5 linked regions of the Oryzias latipes genome follow. The protein of the gene in region 2 interacts with the protein of the main gene of each other region in a pairwise test. Links are inferred from orthologs where the notes say so. Each region holds a gene or a part of one and is shown on either strand. Other genes may lie near its edges. The genes, in order: edrf1, exoc5, beta-taxilin, rab4a and ras-related protein Rab-4B.

Region 1 (6,460 bases), on a different chromosome or scaffold from region 2:
TTTAGTTTGTTTTCAGTTCAATTACATAATGCCCAAAAATATAATGAACACACTGATGCCTTTTGATACTCAGGAAGGTGTTTCTGCGGACAGTAAATTTGCTCTGGGCCAGGTGACATCAGTATTAAAAGAGCAAAACCTCCCTGCTCTCTTCAATGAAGGCGAGAACAGCCAGGTAACAAAGTTCTATTCAAATGTCTGGAATTTCACCACAAACAAGAGCTGGATATTGTTTTTATTTTCAAAGATTATTCAATGTGTTTATAATTTCGAAATAAAAAGGAAAGTTTAAGAAATATTTAACCGTTATTTGCATTCATTTAGCTTTGATCGACTCAGGATATTAAATGACTACTCCGGCCACAAGGTGGCAGTATTCCTTATCATTATGACTAGGTGCATATAAAATACTATGAAGAGTATAATAATAGAACAACACAGCGTCACCTAAGAGTGAAGAGATATAAGAAGCACCACTGAGGGTTGCAAAGGATATGAGGTGAAAACACATTTGTGAGGTTTTTTGTTTATTTAAGCTTTGAATTTTATAAAGATCAGCACTATCTGATATACTTATGTTTAAACACTTTTCATACTGGATTTGATGTATTGTTCGCGTATTTTTATCAAATGAATTGATTGGAAAAAAGTACAAGACTGTGTTTTATGGAAAAATGGGGGGAAGATTGTTGAAAAATTAAACAAAGATTGTGATATTGATTACTGTTAAATTCTTTCTGTACAAGTTTTGACGACTTGCATTCTTTGCAGGGTTTAAGGAATGACTTTGTGCGAAACATCATGTGGACCTTTGAGGACATCCACATGCTGGTTGGATCCAACATGCCCATATTTGGAGGTGGTCGATACCCCGCTGTCAGTCTGAAGCTAAGGTTTCAATCATCATCCAGTTAAAAAAAGTCTATAATTTTAAGGCAGATTGATTATATACTTATTCTAATTTTATCTGTTTATAACTTCTTTTTTTTTCTTTTAACTAACCATTAGCGTCTGTTTTTCAGGGACAGCAATAAACCAATCAACATTTTGACAGGTATTGACTACTGGCTGGACAACCTGATGTGCAATGTCCCAGAACTGGTTATGTGTTTTCATGTCAACGGCATTGTTCAGGTAAATTTCTAATATTGTATTATATTAATTAATTATATTATTCACTCAAAACTACCAAATCACCAACAATTGCAAATATTGTTATATTTCCAATTCACACAGATGTCTTATGTCTTTGCAGAGACATCATTTTGAATATTCTGAGATTATATTTGTTGAAATTGTAACCAGGAGAAAACATGTCGATTTTTAATCTTTCTATTTGAAAGGACAGAATTTTGTAGTATCAGTGCCACCTACTAGTGCCTTATGGCTGCAAAAATATTAAAATACAGCTCATAAAACTGGTCTTATCAATTGTCCCACACCTGGAAGTGTGAAACATGCCCTCCAAATTTGACCCATCCCCTGGGGATGGCAGTCACAGCCTCACTTGGGAACTATCTAACTTATTTAATGCTGAATGTCAATCGGGGAGACATTTGGTCACGTCTATAATAAATGGTCACTCTATCACAAGGCAGCTAAGCTGGTTTAGTAATAAATTAAAAGCTGATCAAGCAAAGAAATCTGCTTCTAGATCATTTATCTTGTATGTCTCAGATAGTCCAGTAATATTATGCTTTAAAGTGAATTGTATAGGGTTCCCTCATTCATCACAGGAGTTACGTTCTAAAAATAACTCGAGATAGGTGCAATCCGTTGGGTAGGATGTATGTTTAAGGCTGTAAATCTCCTTACTACACACTTTCCTCACTTTTCTCAGACAGGAACACTTTCACACTTATCTCTCTTTTTAAACTCTCAAAGTTCAAAGCTTTATAGGAAAATACGTAGAATGAAAATAATTTTTTGCTTGCGATATGTAGATTTGGGAAACTGAACGTATTCTAAACAGGCGACAGGCCACAAAAGACGTTGACTGACATGGTCTACAGCCAATTAGGGCGAAGAACACAGTGCACTGTTTTAAAAAAAAGCATACAAACAGTTGAACTGCGGCATAGCGAGGCAAGACGTCACGTTTTTTTTCTTTTACAAATCTTTACTGTTGACCTGTTATGGGGATTTTGTTTTGTAATTTGAAATCATACTTTATGATTTTTTAAATTCTTGTTATTTTCTCCCAGAAATACGAAATGATTAAAACAGAGGACATTCCGCATCTGGAAAATTCCACTTTTTCCACAAGAGTTGTGAAAGACATCGCCCAGAATATTCTCTCCTTCCTGAAGTCCAACTGCACCAAAGAGGGGCACACTTACTGGCTTTTCAAAGGTTGGAAACAAAAAAAAAAACATTTTCACGTGATTGGTGCTTGTTGTTCTGTGTTGTTTTTACTACCTGATGATGTCTTTGTTTCTCTGCTCAACCAACAGCGAGTGGAAGTGACATCGTGAAGCTTTATGATCTGACCACTCTGTGTGAGGAAGCCGAGGAGGAGAAGTACCAGAATCCCTTCACTCTTCCTGTAGCCGTGCTGCTCTACAAGTGAGTGTTTTCTTCTCCTGACAGGACCGTCTGAGTTTCCAAAAAAAAAAAAAAACTCAATGGAGTTGATAAATAAACCTTTGGGTTGGACCTAATGAATGTTTTAGAATATTTTTCCTCAGCGTTCTGTGTTTTGTCTGAGATGATGTTACATTTTTGGTCGTGTGGCGCAGGGTGGCCAGCAACCTGATGCTGAAGACGAGGCAAAACAGAAAGCACTATGGCCCAGTCAGAACTCTGCTTCTAAACTGCATCAAACTTCTTGATCAGGAGAGACATCCTCAGGTAACTGAAAGTACACCTTTACACTTTAAGTTTAAAATGAAAAAAACAACAACTTTAAAGCTTTTTTTTTTTTGGTGCCCAGATCATCGCGTCAGCTTACTACATGCTGTCAGAGCTGTTCCAGCTCAACGAGCCTTCTGAAGACGATGGAGGGGAGTCTTTGAGGGCTGGTGGCTCGGAGGACAGTTACAGCGATGAAGACAGGGTGGAGGAGGAGGAGGAAGAGGATCTCACAGAGGACAGTGATGAGAACAGCTCCTTCAGTAACGGCTCCAAGCTTCAGGATGATAGCAAAGCGGTGGCCGTGATCCGCTCTGTTGGGGAACTGTCAGTCCCTGAGAAATACAAATCCACTCACCAGATCAGAGTGAGTGACCGCTTTAATCTCGCCTTCTTCCACTGTTGCGCTCAGGAGCCATTTTCAACAGAAAATGCACTCATTTATTAAAGATAGATTATTTTTTTTATCTTCTGAATTCCTCGGAACAGCAAATAAAAGAGAGGATGGGACTAAAATGTTCAGTTCCCACCATTGACTGTATATGAGGACTGGACCCAGTAAGTGTGATGTCACCCATAGGCCGCATCTTACAAATGCCACAATGTTGGAACCAGCCGACGTCAGTAAATGGGGATTTGTCTGAGTCGATCTGAGTCATCATTTCTATGGCAACCACTCTCACCAATCAGGAGTGAGCTTGTTGGAAGTCCACAAATCTACCATTTGAAAGCTGACTCAAGAGAACCTGTCAATTGAACATTTTTAAATGTTCAACGTGAGACTGCATACTTTTATGATATCATAAAAAAATTTGGATTAGCAAGAACATGTTAATAAAAAAGTTAGTAGAGCAAGAATGGTTATTCTGACAAATAGAATGATTAAGCAATAGCTATTTATTCCTCTATAGAAGACTATAGGATTTTTGGCTTCTTGGAACCAGCAGGTTCTTCCTGTTTGGACCATGAGGGTAGAGGGGTCACTAAGTCCAGTTCTCATATACAGTCAATGGTTGCCACTTTATTGATTTTTTTCTTTTCTTTTAAATGTTGTATGCTCTTATTTTGAAATTGCCATAGCTTTGACCCCACTAGGAAAAGCCTGAGTCAGCATGACAAAAGCATTAGTTTTCTGAAAGTTTGGAGTAAAAACGGGGCATTTTTATAGCAAATGTTGCTGATAATTATGTTCCTTTTTTTATGTAGCCAAGCGGTTCTTTCCCCGTCTCTCAAGACAAGGAGGAGCGGTGCAGACACATCCTGAGCTACGTGCTGCTGGCAAGTTCTTCAAACACGTGTCTCGTCAAATAAGTCTCTTCTTCAGGATGACAGGAGACGCTTTTTGAAAGAGCTCTGCAGGGATGGAAATTCAAATAAATGTCTGTGCTGGGACTCACAGGGGTTGAAGGCGGTGGACGGCAGCATCAAAAAAGAAAGCGATCTCCCTGCTGCAGATCCAAACACACCCATTCCCCTCAAATACGAGGACGGAGCCTCTGCTGCAGAGAAAGGGATTTCCCTTCTGCTTGAACGAGGTCAGTCTACTTTCAGTGCTTCATGCCATGCCTCACTAAATCAAAGCGGACACTCTTGGTTTTGATGCATGTTTTTGCTGAAGCAGCGGGGCCTGTGCAGGCAGACCAGAAGCACCCGACGCGCTCAGGGATGATCCCCGGCTCCTGGCAGTACCACATGAAGATGCAGCTGTTCCTCAAAGCTTCCAAGGCCTACTATGTCCTGTCCGACGCGGCCACTAACCTGCTGAAGTACGGCAGAGCCCTGCGCTACATCAAGCTATCCATGCAGTGCTATGGTGAGGCCATCCTGTTTAGCATCATTATGTTAATTATTTAAAGTTTTATAAACTAAAAAACGGATTCTGTCTTTGATTTTTGGCCCAGATGCTTACTGCTCAGTGAATGGAACCCTAAGCCCACAGGTTCTGCAGTTCCACAGTCAGTGCCTGTCTCTGTGCGGCGACATCCAGCTGATGCTGGCCCAGAACGCCAACAACCGAGCGGCTTACCTGGAGGAGTACAGCTATCAGACTAAAGACGATCAGGAAATCCTGCACAGCCTGCACAGAGAGAGCAGCTGCCAGGGTCAGTCACTACACAGTGATGTGTTGACATGGAGGCCCTTTTCCACTGCTGGTGTGCTTTATCTTTTTTTTCAGTTACGGTTAAAGCAAACCTCTTAAAAGCTTTGCTACAAAAGTACTGTGAGATATGATCCTTGAAAGTTTTTTTTTTTTTTTAAATTCCTTTTGGATTCAAATTTGTATCTTTTCCATCCTCTAGCCTTTAACATGGTGACTGACCTGGCCATGGACCCGGAGTACCAGCTGTTTGTGAGCAGCAAATGCTACGAGGCAGCGCACGAGCTGCTCATCTCTGAGGCCCTGAGAGATGATAACTCTGATCAGCTGCCCCAGCTCCTCAAAAGGCTGGGAAACATCCGCAACGAGATGGGAGTCTTCTACATGAATCAAGCTGCAGCCTTGCAAACGGACAAAGAGGGTACTTTTTTTGTTTCTTTTAATTCATAATACCTTTTTACTAGACGGAAAACCGCATAACAATCACAAAGATCTGGAATATAATCATTATTTCCCCTCTCTTAGTGAAAAAGCCGGTGTCAACAACTGAGCAGGAGTTGTGGAAGAAGAGTTTTTCCTTCTTCGAGAAAGGAATCGGTGACTTTGAGGCCATCAGGGACAAAACCAACACGGCGCTGTTGCTGTGCAACACGGGCCGCTTGATGAGAATCTGTGCTCAGGCTCACTGCACCACTTTGGCCGACGAGAGCAGAGGAGAGTTCTCTCCAGAAGAGGCGCTTTACTACAACAAGGTGCCATGTTCATCTCCTTTTCACCTAATATCCAACACATTTTTCCACTCGGACAGTTTGTTTAAATATGCTTTTGGTATTTCAGGCTATTGACTATTACCTGAGTGCCATGAGGTCACTGGGAAGCAGGGAGACTCACCCTGCAGTCTGGGACAGTGTGAACTGGGAGCTTTCCACCACATATTTCACTCTGGCTACACTTCTGCAAGACTTTGCCCCGTTATCCAGAAAGGCCCAGGAGCAGGTGGGTTACACCACTTCTCTGACTTATGTAGTTCTAATAAAAAACAACATTTACACGCAGAAATCATACAACTACCACTATAAACTAAGATAGATGGTATAAAATGAGCTTTTAAGAAGCAAAAGCTTTTTCAAACCCACTTGAGATTATTTAAATATTGAATCTTATTTTGACCATTTAGTAATACAAATAATTGGAACAATTGTTATTAATTTTTGTAAGTGTATTTTAAGTGTTAGAGCTATAGCAGCTAGTTAACATTCTATTCTATTCTACTTTCATTCACCAATTTTGTATTCCTTGTTTTGGTCTAACTTGAAATGAATTCTTTAATAATATTTCCTAACATTACATTTTATTAGTCCTAAAGACACTGCCTCTGATTAGAAGGAAACAATATTTATTGAGGATATTTTTTTTAAATTAAGTAAGGATATTTTTATTAACCTAAACACTGCAGGTAGCACATTTTCCTCTGAAATCACCAAATCATGAAGGAAAATTAAATTGACTGTC
Region 2 (6,094 bases):
TTACTTAAACATTTGTTGATTTTTGGCTGGCTGTTTATTTTACAGGCGCACGTTAGAGAGAAACTGGATGGAACTCGACAGTCTGATGCAGAACAGTACCTCAAAAACCTCTATGACCTTTACACCAGGTGGTTTTGCTTGTCTTTTTCTAATTTACTTCCTGTATGCTCTATAACTCTAACACTTTTTGTTCTTATCTGTTTCTTTTCTGACCTTTCAGGACCACAGCATTGGCTACCAAGCTAACAGAGTTCAACCTTGGTTCAGACAAGCATACGTTCCTTTCCAAGCTGATAAAAAGCATCTTTTCCTCTTATTTGGAAAGTTACATTGACATGGAAAGGGAATACCTTCGTAATCGAGGTGCCATGATTCTGCAACGATACTATGACTCAAAGAATCACCAGAAACGTGCAATAGGCTCTGGCAGGTACGATTTAGCATAAACGTCATGAAGCATTTCAGAATCAGAAATACTTTATTGATCCCATACGTGGGAAATTTGTTCGTTACCATAACAACTGACAGGAGAAAAGACTAAGAATAATATAATTAATAATATAATTTAAAAAAAAAACAAGAACAAGGAAAATGTGGTATCATTTAAAGAGCCATTTTTGGTCTCAAATAAACGTTAGGGTTTCATACAAAAAGATCAAAATGCTAAACGTTTTTTTGTTTTTACTTTAGTATTCAGGAGCTCAAGGAGCGCATCAGACAGCGCACCAACCTTCCACTGGGCCCCAGCCTTGACACCCATGGAGAGACCTTCCTGTCCCCCGAGCTGGTTGTTAATCTGCTGCAGGAGACTCGGCACGCGTTTGAGAGGTGTCACAGGGTGAGCCTCTTCTCCTTCTGTAACGTGAAGGAACATGTATAAACGCAGACTTTGGTGATTTTTTGTTTTGTTTTATTACAGCTTTCAGATCCATCTGATCTGCCTAAAAATGCCTACTCCATCTTCCTACTGCTGGTTGAACATCTGTGTGTGGACCACATCGACTACGCTCTGGAGATTGGCCTTTCAGGTACTTCTGATGAACCAAATTGTACTCTTAAACTGCTTTCTGAGGGCTCATTCTTCTCACTATTAGGAGCTTCAAAGCAGTAGATTCAGGAAGTTGGGACATTAAATAAAGCATAACCTGAGGATCTCCCACAATAATGAAGAGCTAGAAACATTTTAGAGCTAGAATCTCTTTTTCACTAGCCGATAAGCATTAACATTTAATGATCAATATAGCTTAAGTTTGCGTTTGCTGCATTTTTCCTAAATTTTCAGCGATTCCCTCATCCGATGCCAAGAATGCCAACCTGTACTTCCTGGATGTTGTTCAACAGGCAAACTCCATCTTCCACTTGTTTGACAAGCAGTTTAATGACCAGCTGATGCCTCTTATAAGGTCAGTTGTGGTTAAGAATTATCATCTTTGTTTGTTATGCATACTCAGATTTCAAATTACCTTATTTATTTATTTATTTATTTTTGGGGGGGTTCTTTGAATTAAATTTTCTAAACCTGTCTTCAGTTCATCTCCAAAGCTGGCAGAGTGCTTGCAGAAGAAGAAAGAAGTGATCGAACAGATGGAAGTAAAACTGGACACTGGAATTGACAGGTGATTCTTTTTATTTATTTATTTTTTAAGCCATTGATCAACTTTTTTGTTTTTTATTTTGTTTTTTAACAGAAACCAATAATATATGTTTTTGTTATGCACAGAACACTAAACTGTATGGTGGGGCAAATGAAGCACATCCTGGCAACAGAGCAGAAAAAAACAGATTTCCGGCCCGAGGATGAAAACAATGTCATGATCCAGTACACCACAGTAAGAGATGCTTAGCTCGCACGCAGAACAAACAACGCATTGGATGCAATTCATAAAAATCACTTCCAGACTTTTTCCCAACTAGTTCTTCTCGTTTCCCTGACAGGCCTGCTCAAAGGTCTGCGCATACGTCAGTCGGCAGGTGGAGCACGTGCGCAAGTCCATGGATGGGAAAAACGTGGACACGGTGCTGACGGAGTTGGGGGTTCGGTTTCATCGACTCATTCACGAGCATCTACAGCAGTTCAGCTACAGCTCAATGGGCGGCATGCTGGCCATCTGTGACGTGGCTGAATACCGCAGATGCGCCAAGAATTTCAGGGTAATCTGTGACAAAAGGTCAATGTGTCTTTTGTGACTGACTGCATAAACTCTTTCTGTTATACTAATAATTATACCTAATTATTACTTTCACCATCATTTTGGTATGATGATTTCACAGCTGCTTCCTTGATTAAAAAAAAGTAAGATTGATCTGAATGCCTGATTGTTTTCATTTTGATTGTTAATTTCTTTTTTAAATGAAGCAATGAATTTTTGTTGAAACCATAATTCATATTGAGAACATCATACTTAATAATAAATGGATGAATTACCTATCAAGGTTTCTTGTCATAAGAGCATTGTTCCCCTGCCTCTTTCTGAAGTGATAAGCCGTTTTATTTCTTTCTGTTCACAAGGTCCCTCTGGTGCTTCAGCTCTTTGACACACTCCACGCCCTCTGTAATCTCCTGGTGGTTGCTCCTGACAACCTGAAGCAAGTTTGCTCAGGTGAGCATCTCACCAATCTGGACCGGAACCTCCTGCATGCTTTTGTCCAGCTCCGAGTGGACTACCGTTCTGCCAGACTGGGCCGACACTTCAGTTAATGACCGGAGAGCTCACTACTCCACAGACGGATCTGTGATTTGATGAGGGATACGCCTTTAAGATGCCCCATTGCCCTTTGGATGCGTCAGTGTGGGGCCAGCAGAAAGACTATGCTGGCAAAAAATTAAGATCTTGAATGTGGGAAATGTGCATTTCATTGAGTTTTCCACCTGATCGGGTAACGTTTAAATCCCTCATTAACTTCCTTTTTTTTTTTTAATACTAATCTAAATGTATAAGGCCTTTGATATAGGCAAATGGACAATATATATATATTTCTCTGCTTACTTCAAAAATTTTTTTGCTTGTGCCAAAAAATAAATAATTAAGTTTTGCAGCTGCACTGGTGCAGAAGAATTGGCCGTGGAGCTGCTTCAAAGGGAGACTATCAACAATCAGGCTGCGAAGTCGGACTCAGCTCTGCAGTTGCACTACATTTTAGAAACAGTTACTCTTTGTGATGACTCGCTGGAGAAAGGACAGACAGTCTAAGCTAAGTTAGACACATATCTGTCTAAGAGAAACACATGACCACCTCTGCACCTTTTGACCCTTGACCACAAAGAGGAGGTTAAGAGGCCATCACAGAGAAGTATGACCTGAGCGGCAGAGCGGTCTAAGAGCCTCTCTGGAGGTTTGGGTGGTCCTCTTTTGGCCGGGATGATTGGTGTGATGGGTCAGTGATTGTCTGTCACTGTAATTGCACAGATCAACACTTGCTCATCCAGTGGTGCGCAAAGTCCAAAGACGTTGTTGATTTGATCTGCAGTGTTTCTGGGTCAGGGGACGCCGAAATGCTGACCTCTGGTGATTAAAGAAACAAACTAGAAGGGATTTCTTCACACAGGGCTTACTGAAGGTTCTCATTAATTATCCTTTGCACAAGAAAGGGAAGATAATGCCCCCGATGCCTGAAATGATTCCCAACACAAAGCTGCTTTCACTGTACTGCTGTTTACTTTAATTAGTTACTCAATAAAAAAAGTTACATTTTATTATTGTCCATCTCTGAGTCTTTTTCTTATTTTTGCTGTGAGTGAAGAGTTTTCTGTGCAGATGTTTTCTCTGCAGATGTCACTTTCAAAGTGAGATGAAACAGCCTTTCTTTTTTCTGGAAGTCATCAAGTATTCATAGGAATTCTTGCCACCAGAGTAAAGTTATTTCTTAGACTTCAGGAAGTGAGCAGAGCCAGAGGGGATTAGATATCTACGAGTTGATGAATTGTGTGCTGTAGTCATGAACTGGGGAGAACCAGGGAGATAGAGACGGCTGAGAGCTCCGTTCCATTCCCGGCTGGCTAGTGTTGTGTAGAGGGTACACACTGTGCTGTGCGAGTTCAAACAACATAATTAATTAGGCTAATATTAATATTATCAATGCCACATAAATTCAATTCTCTCCAGCCTAATCGCAGCTGGATAGCTTGTAAAAATTATTTTGTTAGGCCCTGATGCAAACAGTGGGTCTTTTCCAAACATTTGAAAACTATTTGTTTTTGTGCTGATTAATGTGGGGGGGTGCGGGGAGGGGCTGGGGGGAGCTGAGCCAGGCCAGACACGATAACCAGTGTGGAGACGATGGCAGCGGCATAGCCTGGCCCCAGGGAGTCCCTACACAGGCACATGAAAAAGGGGGAATTCTATATGGGGGGTTTATTGTGGGTTGTTTTTTTTTTTCTTTGCATGGTGAGTGTTTGAGCAGGTGCAGGGGATTAACAATACTGTCAAAGTGGAGAGCTGGATAGGACTGTCCTCTCTAATGCTTCAGTTTGAGCAGCCCTCACACGTTCACTCATGTTAGGATTGGAGAAAGGACACGCCGGAGTCGTTCCTAAAGAAGTTTCTCCGTTTTTGATTTTTCGTTTCAAAGTCATACCTGAGGTGAGGTCAAACGGGTCCAATATCTGACAAGATCATCTCCACGGGTGCAATAACTCCCTTTCCCAATGATTTAGTTCAAATCTTGATTTTTGGATCATGGTTTGGTTCTGGTCCACTGTATGATCTTACAAAACAACAACAAATAAATAAATAAATGTTTAAAAAAATAATTTTTAAAATGTACTAATAAATGGTAAAAGCGGTAAATGGCATACACTTATATAGCACTTTAAAACATTCTTAGAAGGCCCCAAGCATTTTACAGCCAGTTCCATTTACACACACACATTCACACAATGCAATAAAAAAAAATCTTTCAGTTGGCCTATGCTAAACCTGGTTTAATGTAATTAAACAATTTTAGTTTAGTATGACACGCGTTTGACACTTTCTATTTAAACAAATGCAACAAGGATGCAACGATTCACTTTCCCCACGATTTGGTCTAGTGATCAGAGAAGTTTCAGAGATTTCTCTTGTGTTTTCTTAAAATGCATATTTACATGCGTTTCATTAATATCTGCTAGAACTGTTAGATAATTCAATTAAACCAACTTTATCATTCTCCAAGGAGCAGTTTAGAAAGTGCATTGAAGCAGAATGGAAGACGTTGTAGGTCACCAAAAAGAGCTAAACAAAAAGATGGATACAGGGATAGATAGAAATACATACAGTGCCTTTGCAAAAGTATTTGGTCCCCTTGAACTTTTCAACCTTTTGCCACATTTCAGGCTTCAAACATAAGACATAAAACTGTAATTGTTTGTAAAGAATCAACAATAAGTGGGACACAATCCTGATGTGGAACAAAATTTATTGGATATTTCAAACTTGTTTAACAAATAAAAAACTGAAATATTAGGCGTGCAAAATTACATTAGTGCAGCAAACTCTCTCCAGATGTTCAATAAGGATCTGAATGATCCAATGTTGGCCTACATGACTAATAATGATAATTACAATCCACTTGTATGTAATCAAGTCTCCTTATAAATGCACCTGCTCTGTGATAGACTCAGAGGTCTGTTTAAAGCGCAGGCAGGTTTGAGATACTGTTGTGGAGAAGTTTAAAGCTAGATTTGGAAACAAAAAGATTTCCCAAGCTTTTAACATGCCAAGGAGCACCGAGCAAGCGATAAAATTGAAATGGAAGGAGTAACAGACCACTGCAAATCTACAAAGACCTGGCCGTCTGTCTAAACTCTCAGCTCAAACAAGGAGAAGACTGATCAGATATGCAGCCAAGAGGCCCATGATGACTCTTGATGAACTGCAGAGATCCACAGCTGAGGTGGGAGAGTCTGTCCATAGGACAACAATCGATGGTATACTGCACAAATCTGGCCTTTACGAAAGAGTGGCAAGAAGAAAGCAATTTATAAAAGATATTCATAAAAAGTGTTGTCTAAAGTTTGCCATAAGCCACCTGGGAGACATACCAAACATGTGGAAGAAGGTGCTCTGGTCAGATGAAACCAAAATTGAACTTTTTGGCAACAAAGCAACACAGCTCA
Region 3 (6,936 bases), about 12 Mb from region 2:
TAATCTAACGATCCTCGATCTGAGCTGTAAATTCTCGTTGAAGATCGTTGACAGACGTTCATTCTTCACTGAAAGGACGAAGCCCAGATGATCACAGAGAGCTGCGTCCAAGAATATTTCATTTACGTGATTTAGATTAGGACGATGCATATGAGTCAACGTTTTAGCAGGTCTGATGGTTTGGTGCCATGTCATCTGCTGCTGTTGGTCCACCGGGGTCTCCGTAGTCCACAGAGATTCCACAGAACTTCCCGCTTCTCTGTGCCGATAAGCTGCAAGGTGATGGTAGTTTTATTTTCCAGCAGGACTCGGTCCCTACCATGTGCCAAAAGCGGCGTCCGTCGGTGACCAACACGAAGTTCCTGAGCGTCACTGACCAGAAAACTCATCTGACCGGAACCTGATAGAAAATCTGCAAAGAAGATGAACGACCTGAAGACAGACAACGCAGGCGACCTGAAGACAGACAACGCAGACGACCTGAAGACAGACAACGCAGACGACCTGAAGACAGACAACGCAGACGACCAGAAGACAGACAACGCAGACGACCTGAAGACAGACAACGCAGACGACCTGAAGACAGACAACGCAGACGACCTGAAGACAGACAACGCAGACGACCTGAAGACAGACAACGCAGACGACCTGAAGACAGACAACGCAGACGACCAGAAGACAGACAACGCAGACGACCTGAAGACAGACAACGCAGACGACCTGAAGACAGACAACGCAGACGACCTGAAGACAGACAACGCAGACGACCTGAAGACAGACAACGCAGACGACCTGAAGACAGACAACGCAGACGACCTGAAGACAGACAACGCAGACGACCTGAAGACAGACAACGCAGACGACCTGAAGACAGACAACGCAGACGACCTGAAGACAGACAACGCAGACGACCTGAAGACAGACAACGCAGACGACCTGAAGACAGACAACGCAGACGACCTGAAGACAGACAACGCAGACGACCTGAAGACAGACAACGCAGACGACCTGAAGACAGACAACGCAGACGACCTGAAGACAGACAACGCAGACGACCTGAAGACAGACAACGCAGACGACCAGAAGACAGACAACGCAGACGACCTGAAGACAGACAACGCAGACGACCTGAAGACAGACAACGCAGACGACCTGAAGACAGACAACGCAGACGACCTGAAGACAGACAACGCAGACGACCTGAAGACAGACAACGCAGACGACCTGAAGACAGACAACGCAGACGACCTGAAGACAGACAACGCAGACGACCTGAAGACAGACAACGCAGACGACCTGAAGACAGACAACGCAGACGACCTGAAGACAGACAACGCAGACGACCTGAAGACAGACAACGCAGACGACCAGAAGACAGACAACGCAGACGACCTGAAGACAGACAACGCAGACGACCTGAAGACAGACAACGCAGACGACCTGAAGACAGACAACGCAGACGACCTGAAGACAGACAACGCAGACGACCTGAAGACAGACAACGCAGACGACCTGAAGACAGACAACGCAGACGACCTGAAGACAGACAACGCAGACGACCAGAAGACAGACAACGCAGACGACCTGAAGACAGACAACGCAGACGACCTGAAGACAAACAACGCAGACGACCTGAAGACAGACAACGCAGACGACCTGAAGACAGACAATGTAAAAACTTATGGAGGAACCTGGACTGCTCCAGCTCAGCAGCTCCACACGCTGACGGTGGTCTCCAAACCACAGAGCATTGATGCAGAAACTCAAACCAAACGTTGAGGACATGGAAAGGATCCGTTTTCAGAGGACTGACCTTTAGCTGAACACATCCTGATCTGAAATGTTTCCATCTATGCGTGATGATTCTAAATCATATATATATATTCAGCGATATGACATGATTTTATTTGGAAATCACCTCCATTTAATTGAAGGTTAAAAAAAGAAGGCGTGAAAAGTGGGGCGAAGTCCTTCCAGGGACGACTTCACGTGTGAATTTATCTCTGCCGTCATCACAGCAGCAGGAAGAATAAATGAACGCTTCTAAGAATAGCGCTCACCTTGTGAAACTGCATTCTGGGTTTATTTGTCAGCATCAGCTCCTGCGTTTATACGGCGAGGAGCAGCAACGCTGTGGCAGCGGCGGCGCAGAGCAGACCAGGCTTTGCATGAACCAGTTTAGAGGAAAACCTTCTGAGCCGTGGGGGAGCTCTGACCCTGCAGCAGAGCGTCCTGCCTCTCCCTGTCAGACTGAGCCCCCTCCCTGGTTTATTTTGAGGAGGTCTTATCACAGCTGTTGGGTCTGTGGTGGCAGGTCGTCCGAGCCCCTCGACACGCTGCCTATTCCCCTCCGGCCTTTGGTCCTGGTAAGACCGTGTCTTCTCACTGTCCTGCTTCTCAGCAGGCCTTTGCACTGAAATAACCATGAAAAATAACCACGAAAAAGCCTCTGCTGGAAATAATCCGCTCATTAACATACTAACAAGTGTTGCACGCAACCTAGCAGCTGTTTGAGAGGCTGTTAACCGCAGTGAGAAATCCATCCCTGCTCCGTCGAGTCTTTGTCAAGTCTCTGTTTGAACGCGTTCCTCAGTCAAAATGCTGAATTTACAGCAGATCCTTCACAGAACTGAGCTGCTGCTGCTGGACCTCTCTGTTATTTGAGCTAGATAGAGACCAGAGAGCTGTTGGTGTCACAACCGCCGATTCTGGCTTCACTACGAGGAGATTAGAGAGTAAATAAATAAATAATGCTCCCATATTAAGAAGTTCCTAAAATAGCTAGTGGCTGTGGAACAGGTGCCATGTGCTGCGCTTGTGAAAGCACAGGCAGCGCCAAGGCTGCACTAATTTTATGCTCACAAACAGGATCTGTACAAGACTGACACAAGCTGACAAAATCACAGCCGGCGACGGCAGAACGCACGGCTGTGCTGTGAAAACTCCCATCAAGGCGCTCTTTCTGGGGTTTTTAACACGTTCAGTAGCATTCATGTCATAGTGGAGGACGTTTATAAAAAATTAAATGAAAAAAGATCTTAAAGCCGCATTTCTTTATCCAAATCAATGCAGATCAGGAGCAGCTGAAAAAAAGCTGTTATCGTGTCTGTGATGTAGAAAATACGCCCGGTGGGCCACGACCTCCTAGCTCCTCCCCTTTCTGATCATCCACCTGCAGACCAACAGATCTATGAACGTCTCTGTTTTCCTGGTCTGAGCTGGAATCTGGATCAGAACCGGACGGATGGATGGATCTGATGCTGCTCTGACGTTAGGTTGGGGGTTGTGAGGGGCTGTAAGCTAGAGGGAGTGTTTGTAAACAGATGGATGATGGGAGAAGGGGGTAGGATTACTCTGTGCCAATTGTACCACCAACAGCTTCGAGGGGATTTTTGGATTTTGGCTAAAAACTGCATCATCCTCGTTAAAAGACCACTTTTAGAAACAGACCTAAACATGGAGACCTACCCCAAAGATGGACGAACTGAGCGGGACACAAGGATACCCACCTGCCAATCAACCCCCCCACACACACTTTATGAAACTTTAAACTAAAGCAAAAGTTAAACAGCTAATAAATACACCACCATCCTCTGCAACGAACATAAAAAACTGTAGACATAATAGATAAGCTACCAGCTGAGCAGAAGTTAGTTTTCTTACCTTTTTATGGTCAAAACCTCTGAAAGCTGCCTCCATTGCTGTTAAGAGGATCTCGTCCTGGTTGGTAATAAATACGGAAACAGAATGAGGAAGCTTTCTAGTGAAACGAGAAAGACGCCGTTACATCACCATAACATCAGCAGCTTTCACCCTAAACCAGTTTCTGAATAAAACCCAGTTATCTTTTGACTGTGGTCTCAGTCTGTCTGCTGTTCTCACCAAACGCATCATGAAGCGCACAAACGCAGCTGATCGGTCTTCTCCAGTGCCTGATCCTTAGATTGATCGTCCACTTCAAGATTCTGTTTGGAAACCTCTGAATAATCCTTGATCTCTGTTTGTTTTTGTCCAGAGAAACATCTTCAGTCTTTTTCTCCACTTCTCCTTCAAGTCCACCAAGGTAGGCTGGAAACTACCGGGAACGGTTCTGGAGAAGCTTCTCCCTCTCTGTTGGAGCTCCGCCATCCGCTGCACTGAAAACAATGAACAAAACAGACTTCCCTGCTGCTCTTCAAGAGTTCTTACATTCATTGTAGTATTATTGTGTGCGCTGCTCCTTAGTGTACGGTGTCAAAATAACCCCCTGTAGGATGACAGACGTTTAAGGCTGTAGAACTCCTCACTTCACGTTATCCCCGTGTCTCAGACAGGCAGGAACATCTTCACACTTTTCTCTTTTTTGTCTAAACCCCTAAAAGTTCCAACCTTGATAAAAAACAACATCCAAGATTTATAAAATGAGAATGCGGGTAAAGATTTATGTAGATCCGGTAGAACAAATGCATTTGTCGAAGAGATTGATGGACAACAGCCAATCAGGACGCAGAACATAGGTGGGCCCTCCATGTTTGCCCCCATTAGCTTAAGTGGACACCCGGTTTTCACGCTCCTTACTTCTTTTTCTAAACGCAAATATGACGTCACCGATTTCACTAAGTAAAAACCTAATCAATGCAAATATTTGGCAAAGACATTTTACGAATCAATGATGATGAAAACTTGGATGGTTTATAAAAGCGTTTTTAAATCCTTTTTTTGTACAAAAATTGTTCAAACGCAATGCATTATGGTCTATGGTTGGCAATCATCGATGCACACTGGTTTTTTGCAGACTTTGGGGAAATTTCAGATACTAGATTTTTGTAGATTCTGACCACGTAGTGAAATTCTGACCCACGTTTTTGTTTCTGCCGCCTCACGGCTGCTTAAAATGAGAATCACCGTTTGTTTACCCGTTAAAAACAGAAGACCGGTGTTCGCTGTGCTCCAGCTGTTGCTAAGGACAGTTCTAATGGCGGCCTTGCGCTCCTCCGCAGAGCCAGCTGTCGTCCTTGTTTCGGTACCAGCTTGTCGTAATGGAGGCTTGTCAGGAGAGCTGCTCCGCCCCCGTGGGTCCCAATGCCACGCCGGCCCAGGATCACCACATTGACCTGACAGAGGACCTCGGCCAACAGCTGGAGGACATCATTAGCACCTACCAGGCAGCCCAGATTCCAGCTGAGCCAGAGGATGCAGAGGAGGTCACCGCCGCCAAAGAGGCAGACGGCCGCAAGGACCAGAAACTGGAGAAGAAAATGCTGAAAAATCTAGGTGTTTTCTTCGTCGTGTTGGATTCAGCCTATTTGACTAAAGAAATGCTGTTAGTGCAGTGTGTGTGTAGGTGGAATAGTATTTGCTAAAAGGAAGACTACATCCTCTGCTTTAATTCTCACCATTTGGTTCTAAAAGGTTCTAACGGTCAGAACCAGGTCAAAGAGCAAACTTCCATCCATACCTTCATTTTCTACACTGGCTACTTCCTGTTTAGTTGCTGGTCTGTCCAGCTGCTATCGGGTTCACCCGGTCAGTTCGCCGGTCCACCACAGCGCCGCCAAAACACCCGCCGTGTAAAGATTCTGTTTTCTGAAGGAATTTCCGTTCAATGGGCTGAACTTGAAGTTCAAACGTTAATGGTTGACCTCACAGAAGCTTTAGGGAGCTTCGGGTCCAGAACAGGCCCAGATAACCAGACTTCCACCACTGTGCTTAACAGTTGTCTGGAGGTTTTTCCGTTTAACGATCTCCTAGTCCAGTTTTTTGTCATTGACAGAGCTGTGAATTATGACCAAACATCTCCATGGTTCACATCCTGGTCAGATATTGTTTTGGACCTCAGCACCACCATATGAGCCGCTGTTAGGTGGTCCACTTCAGTCCCAAGAGCTCTACAGACCAGAGCAGACCGAACCAGACTTTACCTGCATTTTCCCGCCTTTTAACCCTTGTGCTATCTTATGGGGTCCAGATGACCCCACCCTTACATTGACGTGTTCTCCCTACCATAACAAAGGTGGAGAGGATTTCATGGACACCAGTGAAGATCACAAATCATTGAAGAAAAAAGGTTCAGTGCACTGTCTAGTGGGTCTAGATGACCCAACTCCCATCGTTAACGTGCCTCGGACAGCACAAGGGTTAAACCAAGTCTGCCCCTCTCTTAGGGGGATGGAGACCTCAACGGAATTGGAATAGAGACGAAAAGGTTAATCTCACATAACTCATGTTCTGCGAGTGTCGCGCCAGAGTCACGCGTTTGCAATTAAGGAACCGCAACTCCATTTGAGTTTATGTATCCTTGGCGCAACAGCGAGCTCCCGTGATTTTAAGTAGAAACTGAAACCAACGTTTGTATTTCCAACTTGCAGCAGTTGAAATAGAAGTTTTTTTATCAGAACAACACTGCTCTGGTCTGTAGAGCTCTCGGGACTGAAGTGGACCACCTAACAGCGGTTCATATGGTGGTGCTGAGGTCAACGGAGGTACTTGGAGTTTGAGATGTTCCTCTGAGTCAAATAAACCCAGGACAGTTGACAAATGTCCTCCTCTCTTCCACTGCAGAATGATTCTCCTGGTGTTGTTGGGTCAAATAACCCTAACATTGTGTGTTTGTTCAGGGAAGGAAGCCATGCTGCTCATGCAGAGTCTGAACAAACTGGATTCTCCTGAACAGAAGCTGGAGGCCATCATAAAGAAGCACGCTGAGCTGGTGAGGAAGGTTGACCCCGGTGAGGGCTGACGCCAACACACACGCTAACATGCTAACCTGTCTGCAGCTGGAGGAGCACCGCAGTGACCAGAAGCAGCTGAAGCTTCTGCAGAAGAAACTTCTCCAGGTGCTGAAGGAGAAGGACCAGCTGCAGGGCGAGCACAGCCGGGCCGTGCTGGCTCGCAGCAAACTGGAAGGGCTCTGCAGGGAGCTGCAGAGACACAACAAGACTCTGAAGGTAAACCGGC
Region 4 (7,231 bases), on a different chromosome or scaffold from region 2:
AATGTATGAAGTCTGTGCATTAACAAAGAGTTTTAGGGTTGGCTCGTACCCAGGGTGCACTGCGTCTCAGTGATAACATTTTGCTCACGTAGGTAGAGCTTTTCTTTGTGAGACAGGTCTCTCCTCTCCATATCTGCACAAGAATGTTAAAAAAAATTCCCTGGTCAAAACATAATTTGGGCAGTTGCTAAATCAACCGCACTTAAACATTTCCTTTCCTGATCATTTTGTGAATTATTGTTCAATTCTTACCAGGATATTTGCGTTTGAATGACGTGACACCCAAATACTCGCTGATTTGTTCTTGCAGCATGTAATATTCTCCTGTATCATCAGGAGGCCATTTATACTCTATTAGGTTTTCTGCTGGGAAATAAGTCACCCTAGATGAGGAGGTGGGGGCAGGAACAACACATTAGATTTATAAGTTGGTATCTGACGCAATTACTTAAGAATAATGGCAAATTGTAATGCAAAAACAAGTAGCCTACCCAAGCTCTTGGCTGAAGGTGTCACAGCTCCGAGAGCTGTCCCCTGAACCCATTCTCCTCCTTTTCGGTGGCTGGCTCCCATCATTAGATACCTCATCAATTACATCTTCCTACAGAAGTGGAAAAAAGATTCACCAACATTTTTTTTCAAACAGATGAACACCAAAATATATAGAATCGAAAAGCTTATTGTACGGAGCCCCTAAAGGGCCATTGATGAAAAAAAAAAAATGGAGGAAAAAATTTTTTTTTTGAAGTAAAAAAAAATTCTCTTGGAGTAAAAAAAATTCTTTTGGAGTAAAAAAAATTTTTTTTGAAGTAAATAGGAAAAAAAAAACTAACTGGTGCCCACCTGAAACTAACTGGTGCGCACCAGTTAGTTAGTTTCAGGTGCACACCAGTTAGTATCAGGTGCGCACCAGTTAGTTTCAGGTGCGCACCAGTTAGTATCAGGTGCGCACCAGTTAGTATCAGGTGCGCACCAGTTAGTATCAGGTGCGCACCAGTTAGTATCAGGTGCGCACCAGTTAGTATCAGGTGCGCACCAGTTAGTATCAGGTGCGCACCAGTTAGTTTCAGGTGCGCACCAGTTAGTATCAGGTGCGCACCAGTTAGTATCAGGTGCGCACCAGTTAGTTTCAGGTGCGCACCAGTTAGTTTCAGGTGCGCACCAGTTAGTATCAGGTGCCCACCAGTTAGTTTCAGGTGCGCACCAGTTAGTATCAGGTGCCCACCAGTTAGTTTCAGCTGCGCACCAATTAGTTTCAGGTGACATTATGACATTGTCAGTAATATTTCGTGTTTTCAGAAAGTTTATAAGGTCCATATCCTCAACTTTAGCCATTCTCAAGACAACTGTAGCTACTTGGTGCACAATGAGCAAGCAGGTCAACTATCTGATATCTTCTGATACTAACTGGTGCGCACCTGAAACTAACTGGTGCGCACCTGATACTAACTGGTGCGCACCTGAAACTAACTGGTGCGCACCAGTTAGTTTTTTTTCCTATTTACTTCAAAAAAAAAATTTTTAGCTCAAAGAATTTTTTTTTACTTCAAAAAAAAAAAATTTCCTCAAGTTTTTTTTTTTTTCATCAATGGCCCTTTAGGGGCTCCGTATTATTGTGAAAATGGGAACATGTGCAAAACTAGTTTGACTAGGATTACACAGGGAAAAAATTAGCAACACTTTATATTTAAATGGCTACACAATCTAGTTTTTTTTTATTTATATATTTTTTCAACGTTGCAAACTAATAGAGAAATACACGAATAATAGGAGCAAATTACTTCAAGAGGAAGTAATTTGAGCACATTTGAAAACAAATGATTTTGCTAAAAGTGGCTGACAGTTGTCCTAGTGAATGGAAACGTCCGTTGGCTAGCTAGCTATCTGTTAGCAAAACATCGTCATGTTTCCCCGTAAACAACAGCTAATGGATATTTATCAAAGTAGAAAAAAATCACCTTCATGGAGTGCGCCCCAGGAGTAGCGGGACTGCTATCACTTGGTGGTCTAATAATAGGGAATAATGTAGCCATTTTAAGATAAATAATGCCCACAGCTAGGCTAATGATTAGCGGGGGAAACTACGTTTCTTCTTCTTTGGACAACCACGGACTCGGTTGACGTTTGTGTAAATTCAGAGCGCCACCTCCTAGATCCTCCAAAAAATATGTTAAAAAGAGAGAATTTGTACACAACATGCAAACCAATTAATTTACATATAGATAAAACTCTCAGCGAAATGGGCTGTTTTTAAAATTTACTTAGAACGGCGAGAATTTATTTTTCATTAATTGAAACCATAAGAACATATCCAAACATCACCCCCACGCGGTAGTTTGAGGACTATGTGGCATAAGTGTCATTTCAGAATGCTTTTATTTTGAAGAAAAAAAACCCACACACACCGTACAGGAAGTTGGAGGAGGAAATCATAGAATCCAAGGAAATCACCAACAGGACTATTTCCATCACTTAGCAAGCTAAACAAATAACAGTTTCGCCTTTCTCTGCCTTGCAGCTTAGCTGACACACCGAGGATGTCGGAGTCTTACGGTAAGGAGGCTGTCTTGCTTTATACCCGTTAGAATCTCACACACAGATGGCAGGAAAGGGATGATGAGGTCCCTTCGTAAACAAATAGCTAGCTGGCAGGCTAACCGAGCCACTGAGGAGTAGGAAGGTTTTGGCCTTTAAACTCAAATGTCAGCGTTAATAAATCTGCCTTCCGGGTACAGGTGTATTAGTAAAGCTTTATAATGCAAGAAGCTGTGACTATAGGAGATGCTATTGTTCCCGGGATAAGCACTAGGACACAAAGCAAGAGACTCCCGCTTTTCTTTTGCAAACGCAAGTGATGATAGGATATCTCTGTGTTTTGTGAGGCATTGCTCAAATTACACTATGCTACAACTGTTCAATCAATTGAACCAACATTAAACATGATAATTATCTTAGTGGGAGTAAAGAATAAATATATATATATAAGGCTTTGTTCGATCTGTTTACGACACATTTGTCTTGATTTGTATAGTGTAGACATCAGATGTGTACATGTCAACAACTGTATCAAAAAAAAATTAAGAATAGTTGAGTTTATTAATAACAAGGCAGCATATTCAAACCCTGTTTGCTTTATCTATGTTACTACTGTGTTCCCTCTGCAGACTTTCTGTTTAAATTCCTAGTGATTGGAAATGCTGGAACAGGCAAATCCTGCCTTCTGCACCAGTTCATAGAAAAGAGATGTAAGTTTGCTTCAGTTGTAATCACTAGAAAAAGCTTTATAATAATGACACAGTAATTGCCCGACTCTTTTATTTAAATATCTTTAAGGTCCCACTCAAAGACAGTCGTTATTTGTGTGTTTTTAACATATTTTTGTGACATTTTGTTCTCATTATAATGGACATTTATGTAAAAATTAAGCCTAAAATTGCATCTCTGAGTATTTCTTTATTCAAATCACTGTGATTCAGGACCAGTTGCTTGTAGATGTGACATAGAAGCTACTATGGCGAGCTACAAGCTCCCTGCTCCGCTTCAATCCGATGCATCCACTTGTAAACAAATAGATCCATGAACGTCTTCATTTTCCTCGTGTGAGCTAACATCTAGCTTAAAACTGTACAGCTGAATAGCTCTAATATTGCTCGCCATTTTTGTTGCACCACTAATGTTGAGGGGGTGTGAGGGGCTGTAAGCTAGAGGAGTGTAAACAAAAGGAAGATGGGAAAGGTCCCAGTCCCGTCCACAACTCAAAGATTCATTTTTTAATAACCTACTGCCGCTCTGCAGATACTATGTCCAACACAACAAGAGTTTGTTTGCTTTTTTCAATTTTGGCTAAAACAGCATAAACATTATTTAAAAACTACTGAAAACGCTTTTACAATAGTTCAAAAGATGATCGGAGTGGGACTTTAAGCAAATCTTGATGAATATTTTTAGTTTGACTCTTATTTTTTAAACAGATTTTAGCAAAGCAGTCACAATCTTTATCAGATTAAAAAAGGGCATTTTATTTTTGTAAACAGTAGGTCATTTTAAGGTGTTGAAAATATATGACTTACATGTGATATTTATGATTTTCCAGTCAAAGATGAGTCCAACCACACAATTGGAGTGGAGTTTGGCTCCAAGATTATTAGTGTGGTGAACAAAATGGTCAAACTTCAGATTTGGGACACTGCAGGTCAAGAACGTTTCAGGTAGCTAAACATCTTTAAAAATTCCTTCTACATTGTGGATGTTGCGTTTTTAGAGATGTCGGCGGTGCACAGCTACAACTTTTTTTTTTCCATTTCTGTCTTAAATTGGCAATAATTACTAAATGGATTTGGTATGCATTTGCTTAAGTGTCAACAATGTTCCCTTTAACCAGTATATGTTTGTCAGGTCCGTCACCAGGAGCTACTACAGAGGAGCAGCAGGAGCTTTGCTGGTCTATGATATCACCAGGTAAGACGAGGTGCGTTATTCTTTTATTATGTATACTTTGACTGCTTAACCATTTGTTTTGTTGTTTTTGTGGCTTCAGTCGAGAAACCTACAACGCCTTAACCACGTGGTTAAGTGATGCTAGGATGCTGGCCAGTCAAAACATTGTAATTATCCTGTGTGGGAACAAAAAGGATCTAGATGCTGACAGAGAGGTCACGTTTCTGGAGGCGTCACGCTTCGCTCAGGAAAATGGTTCGATCTTAAGTTTATAATCCTTAGCTAAAAACTATACAGTTAACTTTCATTATACGTAATTACTCAATGGTTTACTGTTTAGCACTGACTGGCCATTAGTGTGGAATAATCATCAGCGGTTTTCATAGCGGCTGCTCTCATCCTTACTCTGTGTTTGTGGCAGAGTTAATGTTCCTGGAGACCAGCGCTCTCACAGGAGAGAATGTTGAAGAAGCCTTTGTCCAGTGTGCCCGGAAAATCCTGAATAAAATAGAGTCAGGTGAGGAGTTCTAATCTTTGCCCACATTTGTTAAACACAATTTCCAAATCCCTTCTTATCCTAATGGGATAGTCCAAGCTCAGGTGGAGCTCAGGGCTTCAGTGAGCTAGTCTGGAGTGTTGGACCAGCTGGTCCAAAAGTCTGTAGTGGGGATGAAACCTCTGTAGGTTGTTTTCTCTTTATCTCTATTAATCAGCACCATTTCTCTACTCTTAGGAGAGCTAGATCCAGAGAGGATGGGGTCAGGAATCCAATATGGGGACGCTGCGTTACGCCAGCTTCGTTCTCCTCGCCGTGCTCAGCCGCAGGGCACCCAGGAATGTGGCTGCTAGTGGACGTCCTGTTACATAGCCCTTTGAAGGTAAACGTGTTGCTGTGGGATCCCAGAGTGTCTCGGACCTCTGACATTTTTTTTGGAGTTAATTTTCAGGTACGGAAAGGGAGCCGATCGCCTCCTGTGGTTATGACAGTTGTGCTCAGTATAGCACAGAATTACACAGTCAGAGAAAATAGATAAATATTAGGATGAAATTTATGCAAGAAAACCAGGACTGATGACATTTATCTTACTATGTATATCAAATCCTAAAACAGTATTAAAATCTGCACTATGTTTTCATTGACAGCTGTTATCTACTGGATCAGTACAGAGCTGTATTCAGAGAAAAAAAATGGATCGGACCATTTATTGACATGAACTTGGATTTAGGCAACCAGTTACAGTTAGTCTGCAGTTTGTTTTTCTGAAACAATAGTTGTAGGTTATGTTGAATATCAACTTTGCAAAAAGTGTTGATGCACCTCAGTGTAATTCTTCCTGCAATGCTATTTACTATAGTATGTTTGTGTGTCTTTTTCTCCACGTTTGATTTTGTTTTGTTTTTGGAAACAAGTTTGTGAAGACCAGAAGAAGAGCAGCCACATAGAACCTCCACGAATGCAGATGCGGGGGGCTTGCCGTGCCGGTTACTCCACCTTCCTCCAACTTTTGCACGGACCCTTCAGAGCATCTGTTGTCATTTTTGCATGTGCGGAGAGCTGTGAAGACCCCGCCCCCAGCTAAGGAACCCAGAAGACCACACTCATCTTCAAAAACAGAAACATAATTTAAAGCTGGACCAAAATCTCTCTGGCTCTGTGGCGAGAAGGTTTCTCCTCAGACGTAGCTCCCTGCTTGTCACCTGCTCTCCAAGCCTGTTAGACTTTCCTCTATCTATTCATAAAGACGGTTCCTGTCAATCATATTTAAAGTAAAGGTAGTTCAATTCAAGGTAGTTCAATTAAAATAAAAAGTTGACAGTTTTCAAACACATACTTTTGACACTACTAGCACTTGCTATGGTTTGGTGCAAAGTTCATTAAATAAAAGATAATCTCCCTATTTTTAAGCATGAAATAAATCACCCAAATTACTAAAATTCCATTTTTTTCCCAACTAATAGCACTCCTTGTTTATCGCGCACCTGCTCTTCTTTACCCAAGTGAAGCTTCTCACTCCACACTGTGCAGCTATGGAAGCACATTTCATCAGCTAAGCTAACCCTAATTTGTTTATAGTCCTCATCCACTTCCTCTTCTCCCTGCAGAATGTTGTACAGTGCTGCTGTGACCGATGCATGCTTTTCAAGCAAATTATCAGAGTGTTTCATTATATAAAGAGATATTAAGGTGTCAATTAAATAGGTTTTCAGCTCTGCTCATTAAAATGTGGAGCTGTGCCTCACAGGAAAGCTGTGCTAGAACTTTGTATTTTCATGAATTTGGCAGTAACGCATTGCTTTATCAGAAAAAAAGAAAAAAAATAGAGTCCATGAGGGGACAGAATGCTGTCAGCTGTAGAGAGACTAAGAGTTGTATCATGAGATTTATCAGTTGTGCGTTTTGTTTTGTCAAATCTGGTCAAAAACAAAGAATTTTACTTTGGAGATTATATCACTTTACAACTCGTACACTAAACTGTTGCAGGTGCAGACATTTCAAAGGAAACAGACATTTTTCAATGCGAAATGCCTCCAGAGGTGTATCTGAGAGCAGCATAGTTTGTGTCACGTGAGGTTGTCGTCTTGTGTTTGTGTCATGAAGCCTCATTTCTAATGATCTGTGTGTGTGTTTTCTCCTTTCATTATAAATATCATATATTTTTAATTTATTGTGTATGACGAAAAGCTATGTTTTTGAAATAAAAACCAACACAAATGCACTTCTTTTTTGTTTTTTATTGTATTGCCGTTGACCAAGCTGACAGGAAGTCATCTGCAATGATGAAATGCATTCTGT
Region 5 (5,194 bases), on a different chromosome or scaffold from region 2:
ACAAAAACAAAGCACAACCTGCTGTCGTTTGTAGGATCATCCCTTGTGCTGCATGTGTTTGTAGAAAGTGATTCAAAAGTAGGTTGAGGAAAAAGAAAATCCAGCAGCGGCAGGCCAAAAAAAAAAAGAGATTTTATATATAAATAAGTACGTTTGGGACTTTGGGATTTTAAATGGAATAAAAATATTATTTTCGTGCTTCTTAAGCTACACAGTGAACTGAGTAAACAAAATGTGTTGAAAAGGTGGAATCATTAGGAATTCTAACTATAAATTCACAATTTGTAAAACTCTTTATATATTCACATATACACTTTGAATGCAAACCAAATAAAAATACAGATTCCAGCCTTTAGAGACAACATCCAGCTGAGGCTCACTTTACATTCAATAGTTAGCAGGTTCAATGTTCAAGAAAACTTTAAAAGGATAAAGGATGTGGTAGATTCTATCATTTTCAATTTCTTTAAGTATACATGTTTCGAAATACAAACGTTTCCACAATCACATTTAATTTTGGGCTCATCATCAGTCATGTCAGGAGACGCTAGATAAGAGTGCTTCAAACAGTGACAGTAGGAATTTACAGACAGAAATGTGCAAGTGCAAAAAGCAAAGTTTCTAAAACCTGAATAAAAAAAGAAATAAAAATCAAAAGGTTGACCAACAGCAGCCCATATGGACCACCGTTGACTCGTCCTTGTCTGGTAAGCAACTGATGAGGACATCACGTCCTTATGTCCCCATCACGCTCACACTGAAGGGATGCTTCATCCTAGATGCAGGGGCAAGATGGCCCCCTCAGGTAAGGAGGCTTAGCGAGGGCCAGGGGCTTGTAGGAGTCTTTGTGACCTCACTCATCCAGGTGATGTAAGGTGAGTGAGACTATAGGGTGAATGGTCACACACACCAAAACACCTGGAGCTGAACTGAAGGACTGAGCAAACAAAAACCAAAAGTTGATGCGAGGCCTGTTTTTGTCTAAGTACTTCAGACAAGAACGCTCACTGACCTGTAGGGGGCGTCCTGTCCGCGTGGGGCTGCAGGCTCAGGTTAAGGCGTGGCCTGACCCCTAGCAGTTACACTGCTGCTTGTTCTGTGTTGTTGTGCCTCTCGGCTGTCGCAGCTGCCTTAGAGACGCGTCTCCATACTGAATCCCTGAACCCATCCTCTCTGGGTCCAGCTCTCCTGCAGAGACCATTGCAGAGAATGGGAAAAACTGTTACCAAAATAAAATACAATAAAACAGATTTTAAAAGAGGGGGCGGGGTAACTCAACACCAACCCACAACTCAAAAGGCGAATTTCTAATGAACTACTGCTGATCTGCAGGAAAACAACTCCGGATTTTGATTTTGGTTAAAAATGAGATAATCGTAATAAAAAGATCAGTGGAAAAGAAAGTTAAAATATGTTAAAAGAGGATTGGAGTGGGACTTCAAGGTATTAAATCTTTTGAATGTAGAACATATTTAAAACTACAATATGGTCCCCAAAACAACATAAATTGTGCAAATACACACACAAACAAAGAGACATGCCTGTTTACCAAAGACTAAAATATACCTGAATCTATCTTGTTGAGGATGGTGCGGGCACACTTCAGGAAACCCTCCTCCACATTTTCGCCTGTCAGTGCACTTGTTTCTAGAAACATCAGTTCTGTGTGGACAGAAAACAACCACATGATGGTCAAAGGGGGACACGACGGATCCAGGAAGTGTAAGACATGTTCAGCGAGGACACACACAATGTTTCTAGACAAATCCGTTACCATTTTCCTGAGCGAAGCGTGAAGCTTCCAGGAAGGTCACCTCTCTGTCTGCATCCAAGTCTTTCTTGTTGCCACACAGAATGATGACGATGTTGGGGCTAGCGAGCGTCCGTGCATCAGTCAGCCAGTTGGACAGGGCGTTATACGTCTCTCGGCTGTAAGACACAGAGATGGACATTTTTGTGAAACAGCTCAGTATGAAGACCAAACCTTGATATCCATGGTAACATGAGGCCAAATGTGTGGGACAGAAGGGTGGAGGCCTGGGCTCTTGATGCTTTACAGCTGCTTTCAATAGCAAGAAAATCTGACGCAATTCCTCCTCCGCACACCGATGGCACAACTCCAGCTCAGTGGGATTGTGGTTCTCATGTTCCCCTCGCCCCACTCCATTGTTCTACATCTTGCCCCCGCTGTTCCTTCCACAGCCTCATCCGTCCACTTCCTGTGCTTTCGCTTTACTTGGCAGTTTTGGTTGATGGACTTGTGCCGTCCAACGCAGAACTGTCCTGCATTGTTCTATAGCTGCTGTCAATCTGTGCTCTGCCCCCGCCCTTTTGCAAAAGCGAAGGCCTTTTTACGATTGCAAACAGCATTACCGGTACATGTCTGTCGAGCTGCATCGGCGTTTCGCTCATAACAGTTTGAGAAATACAGGCCTGCTTCTGGTTTTTCCATCTGACTGCATGAATGCTCACTTCCTGAAATGCAAAGTTCAAGGAGCTAACATAAACATACGATGTCGGTAAGCAGAGACTTAAAATCCCACTTTGATCACATTTTGATCTATTTTCAAAGTGCTCCCTTTGTTCCTTTAAATATCATTATGCCCTTTTTTAGCCAAGAAAAAAAAAAAAAAAAAAAAACACCAGTGTCATTTTCTAGGAAATAGTTTCTGCAGAGCAACAGTAAGTAGTTCATCAGAAATTTGCCTCTGACAAGCCCCTTTACCCTCCCCTGTTGCTGAGAGCTCTCTGTTTACATGCTCTCCCGCTAGCTTACAGCCCCCCACACCCTCAAGCTAACATTACCGGTGCTACAGAACTAGCGAGCAGCGTTGGAGCTATTCAGCCGCACAGTTTTGGGTCAGATGGCTGCTCAGACGAGGAGAACAGAAACATACACGGATCTATTTGTCTACAAGTAGATGCATCAGAATGGAGCAGAGCAGGGAGGCTGTGGCGCGCCCAGCAAATTTTCTTAGTAACAAATTTGATATTTTTTTCAAATAGGATTATATTTTCTCCACCTGATTCACAACAATTTGAATAAAGAAATACTCAGAAATGTAAATTTAATATAAATTTCCTCTATATATGTAAAAGAAAAGACAATTGTCATCAGAGTGGGTCTTAGCAGCTGTTCAATACGCAGCATTTTGTGGTTTTGATGGTGTTTTGAAAACATTTTATCCCTGTCTACTGAAGCAGAAAGTTGGAGAATTGTTTTTTGGTGACATGCGGCTTCACTTGACTGCATAGGATTTGTCTAAAGGTGGTGGGTGAGTGGGAGCAGGGACGGCTGTACCTTGTAATGTCATAGACAAGGAGGGCTCCAGCTGCTCCTCTGTAGTAGCTGCGTGTCACTGAGCTGTGAAGAGAAAGCAGGTCCTCAGCTCATAAGAGACAGCATTAGCACATCACGACAGGAAATACAACTGAGGAGGCCTAGGGGAAGTTAAAAAAATAATAAAAAAAACATCTGCAAGATTGAACTACCGAAATCGCTCCTGTCCAGCAGTATCCCAAATCTGCAGTTTGACCGTTTTCCCACCAACGTTGATTACTCTGGAACCAAACTCTACACCGATGGTGTGGTTGGAGTCCTGTTTGACTGCATGGAGGAACAAACACAACAATTATGAGGAATGCACCGACCTGCCAGAAACAACACCTTCCAAGAACTACGCAATTATCTCTTTTGACCTACAACATGGGGTAATGATGTGCTTGTTTAGAAGTTGAAGCTGTCATCTTTAACCCACAAGATTCTTATGAGCCAAGATGAGCTCAACACTGTCAGTTTAATCATCTGGAAAAATACATAAATAAAACAGACTTACACTTGTTCTCAATGAACTGGTGGAGAAGACAGGATTTTCCCGTCCCAGCACTGCCAATCACAAGAAACTTGAACAGGAAATCTGAAAGTGGAGGAGAGGACGGGGAAAAGTCAGGAGATCTGGGACAAGTCCATACTTTACCAAAAAATCTAGTCTTTAAATTGACTCTTAACCTTATAAAAAAAAAACATTACACCCAACAAAATCACAGAACCTCGCTTAGCAATGTCGTTCTGCTTACAAGTTTTCTGCTTCACAATTCCAAATGTCTAAATGATCAAAACTTTAAATATAATGGCTAACTATTTACTAAATGTGGCTTTGAAAGACTATTTAACAGACTGAACAGCTGCTTTGTTTTCCTTATTAGAAACAGTGGACCTTTGCTCATTCGGCAACAACCCGGCTCTAAAATGACTCAGACCAAAGACATTTGAAGCAGTCCACAGCGCAGACTGTGGTGTTACTGTGTTTACCAGGGAACAGTGTCCTACAGCACACATAAAAGACACGATCAAGGCCATAAAAGAGGAAAGGAAAATAATCAAACTTTTTTGAAACTTTCTTGGTTGCTAGAAATCTATTTTTACCTTTAAAATATAAAATTTCTTTTAATGGGGGAAAAAAAAGGGAGTCTAGCATAAAAAAGGACCACATGGAACTGAAAAGACCTGCTCTAGTTTAGGGAGAACTGAGACTCCAAATAACACATTTCCTCCTACAATCCAAAGACTGCGGTTTAGTTTAACCTTAAACCAAGTGTGCAGAGAAGCCAGCCGGCAAATGATTAGTGACTTGTGTAGATGTTCCCCGTTATCATGGTAACAGCTGGAGAGTTTTCAGCTGCTCACTAAGTCAACTAATGTAGCAGCTAAAAAAAAGACAACAAAAAAAGATTAGATTGCTATTCAGTTTGTTGTGAGGTTTAAATAGAGCTTTTTGGTGCTCTTAGAATCTCCTTTACACTCACAAGCACTAACACAGGTAGAGGTCAAACTGATGACTGCAGGGAAGCGAAGTGACTTCCACTTTCACTGAGACACTGTGAAAGCCACGCTTACAAATCCCACTTACACGGCTGTGACAGCGGAACTGGCGGAATCAAAGGCGAACAGATCGCTTTCAAAAGCTTGCCTTGGCACCACAAGACCTGCCGGTGCCATCAAGCTGTCGATATGTCACAGCAATGGGGGAAAGCCCAGCTGAATTTATGGGAAACGGAAAGACTTTGAGCGGGAAAAAAAACGACGAAACACAAAAAGAAACGAGAATGGCGTTGAGCGACTTCTCCCCCTTTTTGGAGGTAAGCAGCTGCTTGAAATGATGGATACATTTAGAAAACATTTTTTCTAAATGTT

Evidence for each region.
Region 1: the proteins of exoc5 (region 2) and edrf1 interact in binary tests that used the Homo sapiens proteins (3 or more experiments, as listed by UniProt). The two-hybrid records come from large-scale screens. The link is inferred for Oryzias latipes from reciprocal best matches to the Homo sapiens genes EXOC5 and EDRF1.
Region 3: the proteins of exoc5 (region 2) and beta-taxilin interact in binary tests that used the Homo sapiens proteins (3 or more experiments, as listed by UniProt). The two-hybrid records come from large-scale screens. The link is inferred for Oryzias latipes from reciprocal best matches to the Homo sapiens genes EXOC5 and TXLNB.
Region 4: the proteins of exoc5 (region 2) and rab4a interact in binary tests that used the Homo sapiens proteins (3 or more experiments, as listed by UniProt). The two-hybrid records come from large-scale screens. The link is inferred for Oryzias latipes from reciprocal best matches to the Homo sapiens genes EXOC5 and RAB4A.
Region 5: the proteins of exoc5 (region 2) and ras-related protein Rab-4B interact in binary tests that used the Homo sapiens proteins (3 or more experiments, as listed by UniProt). The two-hybrid records come from large-scale screens. The link is inferred for Oryzias latipes from reciprocal best matches to the Homo sapiens genes EXOC5 and RAB4B.

Annotation. Positions count from the first base shown.
Region 1 is NC_019873.2:19,104,258-19,110,717, forward strand, and holds part of edrf1 (erythroid differentiation-related factor 1), read left to right. Parts: intron 1-73; coding exon 74-175; intron 176-771; coding exon 772-893; intron 894-1,022; coding exon 1,023-1,134; intron 1,135-2,204; coding exon 2,205-2,352; intron 2,353-2,453; coding exon 2,454-2,565; intron 2,566-2,738; coding exon 2,739-2,850; intron 2,851-2,932; coding exon 2,933-3,217; intron 3,218-4,056; coding exon 4,057-4,128; intron 4,129-4,249; coding exon 4,250-4,385; intron 4,386-4,468; coding exon 4,469-4,663; intron 4,664-4,751; coding exon 4,752-5,003; intron 5,004-5,150; coding exon 5,151-5,369; intron 5,370-5,473; coding exon 5,474-5,700; intron 5,701-5,785; coding exon 5,786-5,944; intron 5,945-6,460. UniProt on the Homo sapiens protein: Transcription factor involved in erythroid differentiation. Involved in transcriptional activation of the globin gene.
Region 2 is NC_019880.2:12,936,668-12,942,761, reverse strand, and holds the end of exoc5 (exocyst complex component 5), read left to right. Parts: intron 1-45; coding exon 46-128; intron 129-220; coding exon 221-430; intron 431-690; coding exon 691-838; intron 839-919; coding exon 920-1,028; intron 1,029-1,282; coding exon 1,283-1,403; intron 1,404-1,529; coding exon 1,530-1,616; intron 1,617-1,720; coding exon 1,721-1,829; intron 1,830-1,935; coding exon 1,936-2,151; intron 2,152-2,509; coding exon 2,510-2,698; 3' UTR 2,699-3,694; downstream 3,695-6,094. UniProt on the Homo sapiens protein: Component of the exocyst complex involved in the docking of exocytic vesicles with fusion sites on the plasma membrane.
Region 3 is NC_019880.2:1,118,716-1,125,651, forward strand, and holds the start of beta-taxilin, read left to right. Parts: upstream 1-2,153; 5' UTR 2,154-2,168; coding exon 2,169-2,366; intron 2,367-4,015; coding exon 4,016-4,063; intron 4,064-4,979; coding exon 4,980-5,253; intron 5,254-6,596; coding exon 6,597-6,688; intron 6,689-6,755; coding exon 6,756-6,926; intron 6,927-6,936. UniProt on the Homo sapiens protein: Promotes motor nerve regeneration. May be involved in intracellular vesicle traffic.
Region 4 is NC_019861.2:24,496,624-24,503,854, forward strand, and holds rab4a (ras-related protein Rab-4A), read left to right. Parts: upstream 1-2,403; 5' UTR 2,404-2,537; coding exon 2,538-2,553; intron 2,554-3,164; coding exon 3,165-3,245; intron 3,246-4,093; coding exon 4,094-4,208; intron 4,209-4,395; coding exon 4,396-4,458; intron 4,459-4,537; coding exon 4,538-4,692; intron 4,693-4,858; coding exon 4,859-4,954; intron 4,955-5,170; coding exon 5,171-5,286; 3' UTR 5,287-5,315; intron 5,316-5,847; 3' UTR 5,848-5,860; downstream 5,861-7,231. Other genes in the region: phf10 (PHD finger protein 10), read right to left, coding at 50-133, 253-383, 492-601, 1,959-2,033. UniProt on the Homo sapiens protein: The small GTPases Rab are key regulators of intracellular membrane trafficking, from the formation of transport vesicles to their fusion with membranes.
Region 5 is NC_019871.2:14,614,440-14,619,633, reverse strand, and holds part of ras-related protein Rab-4B, read right to left. Parts: intron 3,918-5,194; coding exon 3,837-3,917; intron 3,608-3,836; coding exon 3,493-3,607; intron 3,365-3,492; coding exon 3,302-3,364; intron 1,930-3,301; coding exon 1,775-1,929; intron 1,663-1,774; coding exon 1,567-1,662; intron 1,189-1,566; coding exon 1,073-1,188; 3' UTR 1,013-1,072; intron 938-1,012; 3' UTR 1-937. UniProt on the Homo sapiens protein: The small GTPases Rab are key regulators of intracellular membrane trafficking, from the formation of transport vesicles to their fusion with membranes.